Drosophila melanogaster: one gene and its partner. The protein of the gene in region 1 purifies or fractionates together with the protein of each later gene. This does not show direct contact. Each region holds a gene or a part of one and is shown in the gene's direction. Other genes may lie near its edges.

Region 1 (4,996 bases):
TTTTTTATGCGCACTTAATATATAAAATGAATATTGAATAATACTGAATGAAGCCAGATACTCACACTGAAATCCGAACGGGCAGAGCCAGGGGTAGTGCTCGAGATCGTCGGGAATCGGTGTAGGACCTGGAACGAGAACGCCCATGAGAACGACCACGCGAGTGACCACGGGAGCGACCGCGAGACCGGGAACGATCCCGCTTGCGGTCATCTCGCGTGTGTCTTCTCCGCGGCATGTGCCCCTCCTTCTCCGCCAGGATCAGCTCGCAGTCACTGTGGTCGGAACTGGAACTGGAAGATGAGCTAGTGTGATGACTATGACTATGATGTTTGCGTCCTCTGTGTCGTCGTTTACCTCCATCGGAGCTGCGGTGCTTGGACTTGGTCTCCTTGATGGAGAGTTGAGATTCCTGCTGCTGCTGCTTCTGGATCTGTTTCATCACATCGTTCAGCATTTTCTGGGCCATGTTGGCCTTTCGAATGAGACGCTCCATCGACGGCAAGGCCATGTCCTCGACTTCCACGGGCGTGGCATTTGGCAATTGGCCGCGGCATCCTTGACATGCATCCGGCCCTGCATTTGCCGCAGTTTGCTCACGTGCCACGTTATCGGATTGCGACATTTTTGCACTAGTTTACAACTGACCCGATAAGAAATTCACTCAACACTTTAATTACTGATTAACTACTGTTTCTCTGAACTGGATATAACTGCTGCGGAATCTGTTGCTTATGTTTCGACTGCTTCACTTGAACACTTGAATTTGACTGGCTTCTGCGGCATTCGGTCGATGAGCTTTTATAGGCAACTTTGGCGCCAAGCTAATCGCGACTTTCGGACTGTAAACATTTGCCTTTCTTTATCAGTCACATACTCATACAAACCACACGATAAATGTGACGTCATCTGAGCTATTTTTAACCAAATCGCATTCATGGGTTTTTGGGAAATTACTTCCATTGATCACGTGTTTTTAATGTTACATAATTTCATTGCCGAACGTAACCTCAAACATATTTCATATTTTTGCGAAATTCTTCTTACTTTTGTATTTCTGCATATTATATGCATTATAAATATTCTGCGTATTTTTATAAGCATACCTTTTATTATTTTTTACGATTTTGTGAAATATGACATTATTTTGATATAATTTTAATTTTGAATTTCGTCCAAGTGTGTAATTTTAAAACAATTATTTTATCGTTTTAAATCATCGAAAATTTTAAGAATATAAAGTATTAAGAAATTTACACAATTTTTTGAAAATGTTTTGGGATCTTAATAATTGCATAAATCAGGTTTAGCACATTATTTTAGAAATACTAAACGGTTAAATATTTTACAGAACTGCTATTTAATTTTAAGGTATAAGACTACGTATAAGACATTACCGCTTGAGACTAGTATTTTTATTGTGGTATTTTCATGATTGCTTTTGAATTGTGCCCGCCAAAATATGCAGTCTTAACCACAAGCGGTTAAAATCATTCCTTACGTTTACTTATATTTAAAAATCGACAAAAGGTATAATAATTCAAAACTATTAAAAAATTTTAAATAAAACTAAACGAGTCTAAGTTTTCTTAATCAAAATAGCTGTTAATATGGATAAGATATATTTGGCGCATCCAATAGATACATTTAACCGCTGAAGAGAATTAACAGTGTGATACGCCAGACTGTTAACAGACTGTTAAAACGCGATTTCCCGGCTTTGGTATTTTTACATTACCATCATTTGGTTTCTCTGATATTTTAAAAATCTATATAAGCAGCTCGCAACGCATTCTCTCTGTAATTTTTCGGGAGAGCGCAGCAGCGCGCGCTGTTTTTTCGGTTACCATTAAAAAATATTATTAAAGAAACATCGTTATAACTTTAATGCCAACGGAGTTGCGGCAATTGAAACTGATTTTTTAAGCAAACGAACAATAAATTCGACGTGGAGTGTGCTTCTGCTCGCCTACATGAAGTAATAGCGATGTATATTATGATTTAGTAAATATAAATCGATTTAATTAATATTTAAACTTGTTGTTTTCCGCGAGTGGGCGCGTTTTGTTACCAAGCCGCTATACGATTTTCGTTTTTCCGACTTTCCTGCGCGCCGAACGGGTTTTTCAACGAAGCCTTGCTGTCTTTTTCCTCGTAAGCAGCAAAAACAAGGCTGAAAAACTAAATTAAAGCGACTCGCTTCAGCTGCAGATTAATCGATGTGCGGCTATAGACTTTTAATTCGCAGATTCATCATCGATTTTTCCTTTGGGCTCAGCTGCAGTGCGCTAGTGTACGTGTATGTGCGTGTGTGTGAGTTGGTCCTGACAATACAAATAAGCCGTTGTGTTAGGTAAACGGAACAACAAAAGGAAGTGAACCAGAGAGAGAAAGAGAGAGAGGAAACGGCAGGACGATACCGAGTCCTTGAGCGATCATTCATGCTCTTCTTCTTCTCCAGCTGCAGCTGTCACGAAATTTCGCGCGTGCACGTGTATGTGTGTGTGTGGGAGACAGGGAGAACGCCGAAGTTAGTAATTTCTCTCCACTTCTCAGTGTTTGTGCATTCAATTTGCACAAAATTGAAGCGACGCGCTAAATTCGCAAATTTCCGTCCGCGAATTGCCATCCATTATTTTGCACTCCCCCCCAAGAGAGCGAGAGCAATAATAGAATTATCAGGCAAAGCAAAAAAAAAAATCAAAACTCAAGCGAAAAGAGAATGCCCTGGGAGGCCGTAATACCAATACCGCGACCCTCTGACATTTCCATCGTCGCCCACCAAAGGAACAACAACTGAGCGACAAAGACAGCAACAATCCGACAAACAAACAAACAAAACAGCAAACGAGCGAATCAACGAACGAAACTCCAGCAGCAGCCTCAACCTCCTCAACCGCTGGCACAGTTTTCCTCCTTCAACTCCAGCTCCGTGGGTGAGTAGCTACAGTGGAACGCCACTAAGTAGAACATTCTGCGAGTTCTAAGTTAAATTGCAGAGAATATCGCTTTGAGCACAAACTGATTAGAAATTGCCTTCACTTGGTCTTAGAAAGTTTACTAATACCAACTGATACATCGTTTTTTTGTTTGTTAATGTCAGTTTTAAATTGAAATCGATTAACAAATCTTAATGTCCTTTTTATATTTTTTTATAATGGATGTGGGATATGGGGGAAAGGCAAATGGCTCTTACGTGTAAAATTTTATAGTTTTTCCATAGCATTTAAGTACAATTAATTTTCTTTACGAAGAAAATGAAAGTTTTGCTTATGTAACAAGCCAAATTTAAGCAAATATTTTGTTTTTTGTATCAGGATAAAAGTTAAGCTTACCCAATCTCCACTGTAACTCATTGGCGGGTAGAAAGTGGTTATCGAATATGAGCTGCGTCTTATGTTGAAGCCACATCGTCGTGTGGGCGAGAGGGTGGTTGTGGTGGGTCAGAGGTGTGTTGGCGTCGTGCGGCTTTGGTTTTTAGCTGAAATTAAAAAGGTCAGGACCGCCGGACTGAGGGGCTTCCGGATTTTGTATCCTAGCCACGTAGTCCGCTTCATTATGCAGCGTTAACTTTGTATGTAAAAGCGTATATACGTATGTACATATGTACATACATATATGGATGTGGCAAGCGGTGAATATAATTTCAGTTGCATGACTTCGGCGATAATCGATTTTGAAGCGACGAAGCAATCAGGAAGAGTGCAATTTAATGTCAGTCCGTCACTCAGTCAGTCAAACAGTCACAACTTGACACACTGCAAAAAGTTATGCTGCAAAATGGAGGTCAGCATGACGTTTTTGCATTAAAGATACAAAGGGAAATGTAGCAAAAACCAAACTTTTTGCTTAAAAAGTTTGGTAATACTTAATGTTTGCATGGATTTAGGCAAGCAATTGCGTTTTAAGTTTACTTAGAAAAGTATATACATTTGTCAAGTAAATAGTATCAATGTGCTCAATCGATTCCCATTTCCTTGAATTAATAATTGGTATATGCTACCATTTTTCCGGCCTGCTTAAATGGCGTTTACCATATTCATAAGCGCCCCGGTTGATGGAGCAGCGGACATGTTAGCCGTTACTCCATAATGCGACAACTTGGCGACTTGAAGTGGGGGATGTCGTAATGGAGAGTGAGCTGAGGAAATCGCTAATTAAGCATCAATTAGTGCAGTTTCCGGTGCAAGAGCCGCTAGAAGCAAGCAAGCCACCGTTCTTGTACTTTCCACTCGTCGAACAAATCGTGTGACACATTTCGCTTTCCCACACACCAATTGGCGATAGGAGTTATCAGCACTTTTCAGCTTTAGCACTTCTTACCACTTTGGCTGGCCTGCCCCCTATCCCAAAAGATAATAACACATTGCATTTTCAATGTGTTTCCCCTGATATACATATACAAATGTGCCCGATTAGCGGGTATCTCAATAACAATGGCCGTAATTTATGATAAACAAGTTTTTGAAGTGTGCGAAATTTAGCAGCTCACTGATTTGAGCCTGTTTTTGGCGACACACCACACTCCGCTTGGTACCCCTTGTTCAAATGTTGCATTGTTTATAATCAGTAACGGACTCATAAGCGAACACATGTCTGGGTTGGTTTTCAAGGTCAGTTGAATGGCCAGATTCGCCTCGTTTGTGATTTGGCAACCCCATGGAAACACGATAAACGAGGGCAAACAGAGCTGAATTCAAGCTGCAGCCTCATCATCTCGTCTTTCTCCAGACAATGGCCATTCGGCTATACCATTTCAGAGGTTTATGCCTTGAGAGAACGCTTCTGGAGACGAAAACCCGGCCTGGACTGGAACCTTGCCAAGACACACTCGAGACGCGCGTTGACAATGAGCGAGGCTCTCAGGCGAGACTTTCAGGCGTCTCCAGATGCTTTCCATTCCATTCGCTTTGTCTGTGCCGCTTTCGGCGTTGCATGCACTGCGAGAAAAAATTGAATTTGTATGGGTGTTCTATTCTAATGGTTTGGTTGTATG
Region 2 (5,086 bases), on another chromosome or scaffold:
CTGGTGTTTATTTTTAAGCCCAGCAAGATTATACTGGAAGATATCTTTTCAACTGAGTTTAATGTGATAAAATGGACAAAAATGTATTCCCTTTTAATACATTTTTCAACATAGCTACTATCTTTCGATTAAACTTTGTATTTATTTCATTGACATTAATTAAAACTTAATGTTATGTCAGGCAAGTGGGATGTTTTAGCACACTAAAACGGGATTTGCGTTTTATTCGTTTTCATGTAGTATGGCCACACTGCGGCCATCGTATAAAAGCCCGCGCTCTCCAAAGCGAATGCACTAATTTTTCCAAGTGTGTGAAGCGGACAGTTTGTGTTGTGTTCGACTGCTATAAGCGAAAGATAATTTTAAGTTAAAAGTTCAAAAGCCTAAAACAAATACAAAATGAGGGAAATCGTTCACATCCAAGCTGGTCAGTGCGGCAACCAAATCGGCGCCAAGGTAAGTTTTCCCATTTGCATTTTCCATTCATTTTCCATCCAGAGTACAGTTGCCAAAATGGCGTCATTTTTGCACGACTTCGCTGTCCATGTGGCAAAAATTTGTATTGAGGCCGGCATTTTCACACTCACACATTTGCATTTATGTATACCAAGTTGTGTGCGTGTGTGTGTCGAGTGGTCTTTTTGAGTCCCGGCATCTGTGTTTGTATATACCGCATATTTGTCCGATTTCGCAAAGATGCTTGAAAATTGTTGTTCTACTCTGGCATTTGGGGTCCAAAATTTAGAACGAAAGTTTGTTACGCCCGAATTTCCGATCGATATAATGCTTTAGGGCCATTGACATTCGCATATGTACTTCGTGCCCATATGTATGTACATATGTAAGTAATTATAGTTGGGTGTGTCTGCAATTACACCGACGCTGGTGGCTGTGTGTATGCCTGTGTGCGTGTTGCATGCATGAGTCATTTTCTCTTGGGCGAAAGACTTTCATAGTTTTTCACCGGTTGTGAAAGCCATTTCACTGCCCAGATGGTGAAGGGTACTTTTCTATCGTCAAAACACGATAGCTTTTCTACACGCACATAAGAGCTTGCTGCTCATTTGTATGTGTGAGCGTCGGCCGGTTTTTTCATTTAATTTTTTTTTTTTTGCCGCTATGCGTCTTCTAAAGAGAAAACATGACGTCATTTTAACCTAAAATGGCTGAACCGGTCGTCGTTGAACGGTTCGCAGAACGTATAAGAGTTGATCTTATACGTAGATGGGATATAAGTATGTAGATATATGTGTTCGTAGGCTGCATTAGCTGTTCTATTGATTTTCATGCATTCCACACTCTGCTCCCTACTTAAAATTGCGCTACTTCGGCGGCTTCTCTATCTTATCATGGAATGAAACAATTTTCTATTTTTTATTCATGACTATAGTATAGACAGATTTCGGTTCTCTTTCGGCCATTATGTGCCAAAATGAAACTTTACTTTTAGCAGTAGGAATTGGGAGTCTGCAAGGTGAGATGATGACCTTATATAGAGGAATTTGCCATCTGTTTGTCTCTATCCCAGTTTCCTCTCGCACACAAAAAGCAACGAAACCGAGAAGGGCGGTGCTGCACATGCGTGTGGGATAACGGGGCACAGGACACGAAGGTGATGTTGATGATGACGAATCTTTCTAGTCCTTGCCCGAAAAATCAATACCCACATGCTGGGCATGGGCCCATGAGCCGAAAACAACCCTCGGAAACGCCTTAAAACCCGAGCAGCTGCAACATCAGAATTGTTGTGCCCAAGTATGGCTCTCAATATCTCTCTCTCTCGCTTTCGACCCGACCGGCTTACAAATGTGTATTTCTATATTTATATATACACTTTATATACATAGAATCCGGTATGACGGTGTCATTTCGCTAAACGAGTGTCAACCACGCATTTCCTCCAATACCAGTGTAGCGACTTATTTCGGTTAATTGTTTTTATTTGTTTACGCGACATAAACAACGACCATCGCAAAAAGTTCAGGTGACGTAATGCCCTGAAAAACAGACGATTTATGCGCCAGATGGTCGGTAGTTGGAGCACTGAGCTGCAGTTTTAACCTCTCAGCAAACAGACAACGCCAACGCCTCTCTCCAACTGGTACCCACTGCTCCTCCCACTCCTCCTCCGTTTCCCTCTTGCAGAGACGAGAGTGGGTCGCGAGACCCGAACAACCGGTGATGTAAGCCGCATCGGAAGCAGGGGGGCTTTTTGGGGTGGCAGAGCCCGGCTCTGAGGTCGCCGGCATTGCGTGGGGGCAGCACGTAGACATATAGACAGACAGACAGATAGTAGTTATACAGCTCAGTTCCAGCCCACGCCCGAAGATTCGAGTAAGATCGGTCGGCGGAACGCAATGACAGCTGCGCCTCGAGATCCGAAACGAAAACCCACGCCAGATGACGTTATCGTTGGTGTGGCGATGGTGCTGCTGGTCGTGGTGGTGGAAACGCACCAAAAATGGCAGCGAATAAGTTATGTTAATCGGAGCTCGGCCCATACACAGAGTTTATGATGGCGTACATGGGTGGCCTAAACCACGTAGCCGAGCCCAGACATGTGTATGTACATCGGCTGCTTCTTGTGCCCATTTATTCCAATCAATAAAGAGTTATATATAGACTGACTTTCCATAACCCATCACACATTTTGTTCGAGAAGGTTTCTGTATCGAAGTTATCTGTATAAGTTAAGAGAAAAACAAGAAAATAAGATTGCCTTTCACATGCATCAACTTTCACTGGGTATGGAAGAAAAATTTTAAGCAAATTACTTGCAGAATTGGAAATGAGTTTCAGTGATTAGTAAAAGTTTTCTTCAACTGCAGTACTCTTGTGCAAATAAAAGTTACCGTTGCTTAAGCATAAACTTCTTTTGTGATTTATGTGAAGCAGTCAAATAAATACTAGCTGTATATATGTATGCAGCAGATGGTCTAGGCTTTGAGTAATTTTACTACCATTGATTTTCTGTGATGACTCATTGGCCAAGTCATTCATACATTTTCTTAAGACTGAGTTAGAAAACACCCCCTAGTAATCGATTTTCCTGCTGACTCATGTTCACAAGAAATGCTGTACAGCACCTGCAAGTCCTAATCGCACTAATCCCAAATTCTTTACTTCCATTTCTCATTTGCAGTTCTGGGAGATCATCTCCGATGAGCATGGCATCGATGCCACCGGCGCCTACCACGGTGACAGCGACCTGCAGCTGGAGCGCATCAATGTGTACTACAATGAGGCGTCCGGTGGCAAGTACGTGCCCCGCGCTGTCCTTGTCGATCTGGAGCCCGGCACCATGGACTCTGTGCGATCGGGACCTTTCGGCCAGATCTTCAGGCCCGACAACTTTGTGTTCGGCCAGTCGGGTGCCGGCAACAACTGGGCCAAGGGTCATTACACAGAGGGTGCTGAGCTGGTGGACTCAGTGCTCGATGTTGTCCGCAAGGAGGCCGAATCCTGCGACTGCCTGCAAGGCTTCCAACTCACACACTCCCTTGGCGGCGGCACTGGCTCCGGTATGGGAACCCTGCTGATTTCCAAGATCCGCGAGGAGTACCCCGACAGGATCATGAACACATACTCGGTTGTGCCGTCGCCCAAGGTGTCGGACACCGTTGTGGAGCCCTACAACGCCACCCTGTCGGTGCACCAGCTGGTCGAGAACACGGACGAGACCTACTGCATCGACAACGAGGCTCTCTACGATATCTGCTTCCGCACCCTCAAGCTGACGACACCCACATACGGTGACCTGAACCATCTTGTCTCCCTGACCATGTCCGGCGTAACCACCTGCCTCCGATTCCCCGGCCAACTGAACGCTGATCTCCGCAAGCTGGCCGTCAACATGGTGCCCTTCCCACGTCTTCACTTCTTCATGCCCGGCTTCGCTCCCCTGACCTCCCGAGGATCCCAGCAGTACCGCGCCCTCACCGTGCCCGAGCTGACCCAGCAGATGTTCGATGCCAAGAACATGATGGCCGCCTGCGACCCACGCCACGGACGCTACCTTACCGTCGCCGCCATCTTCCGTGGACGCATGTCCATGAAGGAGGTCGACGAGCAGATGCTGAACATCCAGAACAAGAACAGCTCCTACTTCGTCGAATGGATCCCCAACAACGTGAAGACCGCCGTGTGCGACATCCCGCCCCGTGGTCTGAAGATGTCCGCCACCTTCATCGGCAACTCCACTGCCATCCAGGAGCTGTTCAAGCGCATCTCCGAGCAGTTCACCGCTATGTTCAGGCGCAAGGCTTTCTTGCATTGGTACACCGGCGAGGGCATGGACGAGATGGAGTTCACCGAGGCCGAGAGCAACATGAACGATCTGGTGTCCGAGTACCAGCAGTACCAGGAGGCCACCGCCGACGAGGACGCCGAGTTCGAGGAGGAGCAGGAGGCTGAGGTCGACGAGAACTAAATTCGAATCGGAAATCAATCGAATTCTCGATCAATGTTTTGCGAAAAAAAATGAAACGAGAACAAATGAATTCAGTTGTAAAAGATTTGTTCTCTTAACAACGTAATCAATAAAGTCGGATCCAATTTTGTTCACAAGTCTAAACAATTATGGTTTTTGTTGGGGTTTCTTATAATTAATAAGAGAGATATCAATCATTTTACGAGGATTATGAGACTGCGTTTTGTAGTCCAAGAAAGCTGATTAATGTTTAGAGTGTTGGTATAAATGTTAATAGGCTCATTAATGTAGGTTTTGACAAAAGCGAGGTATTTGTACATTTTCTCATTGTATTATTTGGATTCACAAATTTATGTTTATTTAATCGGGTTTCTCCCAGCTAAAAACAATAGAAATCTTTTCACCGGCTGTGTTTGTTTTGGACATGGTTATGTTGTGATGATTGATAATTTCATTCACATTAGTTTATTTATAGACCTTTTTTATTTATTGACAATGATTTGCCCTACCTACCTCAACTTTCGAGCAAATGCTGCATAAACAAAAGTAATTCGCCCTTGAAGAGGACATGACATGATATTTTCAGCGTAGGAAGTGGGCCTACGTACCATTGTGGTTCAGACGGCCTTGTATGCAATAAATCTAATTAATATATAT

Evidence for each region.
Region 2: the proteins of corn (region 1) and betaTub56D fractionate together in Drosophila melanogaster (co-fractionation; one study listed by BioGRID). This does not show direct contact.

Annotation. Positions count from the first base shown.
Region 1 is NT_037436.4:7,153,876-7,158,871, reverse strand, and holds the start of corn (cornetto), read left to right. Parts: upstream 1-1,798; 5' UTR 1,799-2,936; intron 2,937-4,996. Other genes in the region: CG8620 (uncharacterized protein), read right to left, coding at 62-625.
Region 2 is NT_033778.4:19,446,803-19,451,888, reverse strand, and holds betaTub56D (beta-Tubulin at 56D), read left to right. Parts: upstream 1-2,289; 5' UTR 2,290-2,478; coding exon 2,479-2,562; intron 2,563-3,142; coding exon 3,143-4,429; 3' UTR 4,430-4,570; downstream 4,571-5,086. UniProt on the Drosophila melanogaster protein: Tubulin is the major constituent of microtubules, a cylinder consisting of laterally associated linear protofilaments composed of alpha- and beta-tubulin heterodimers.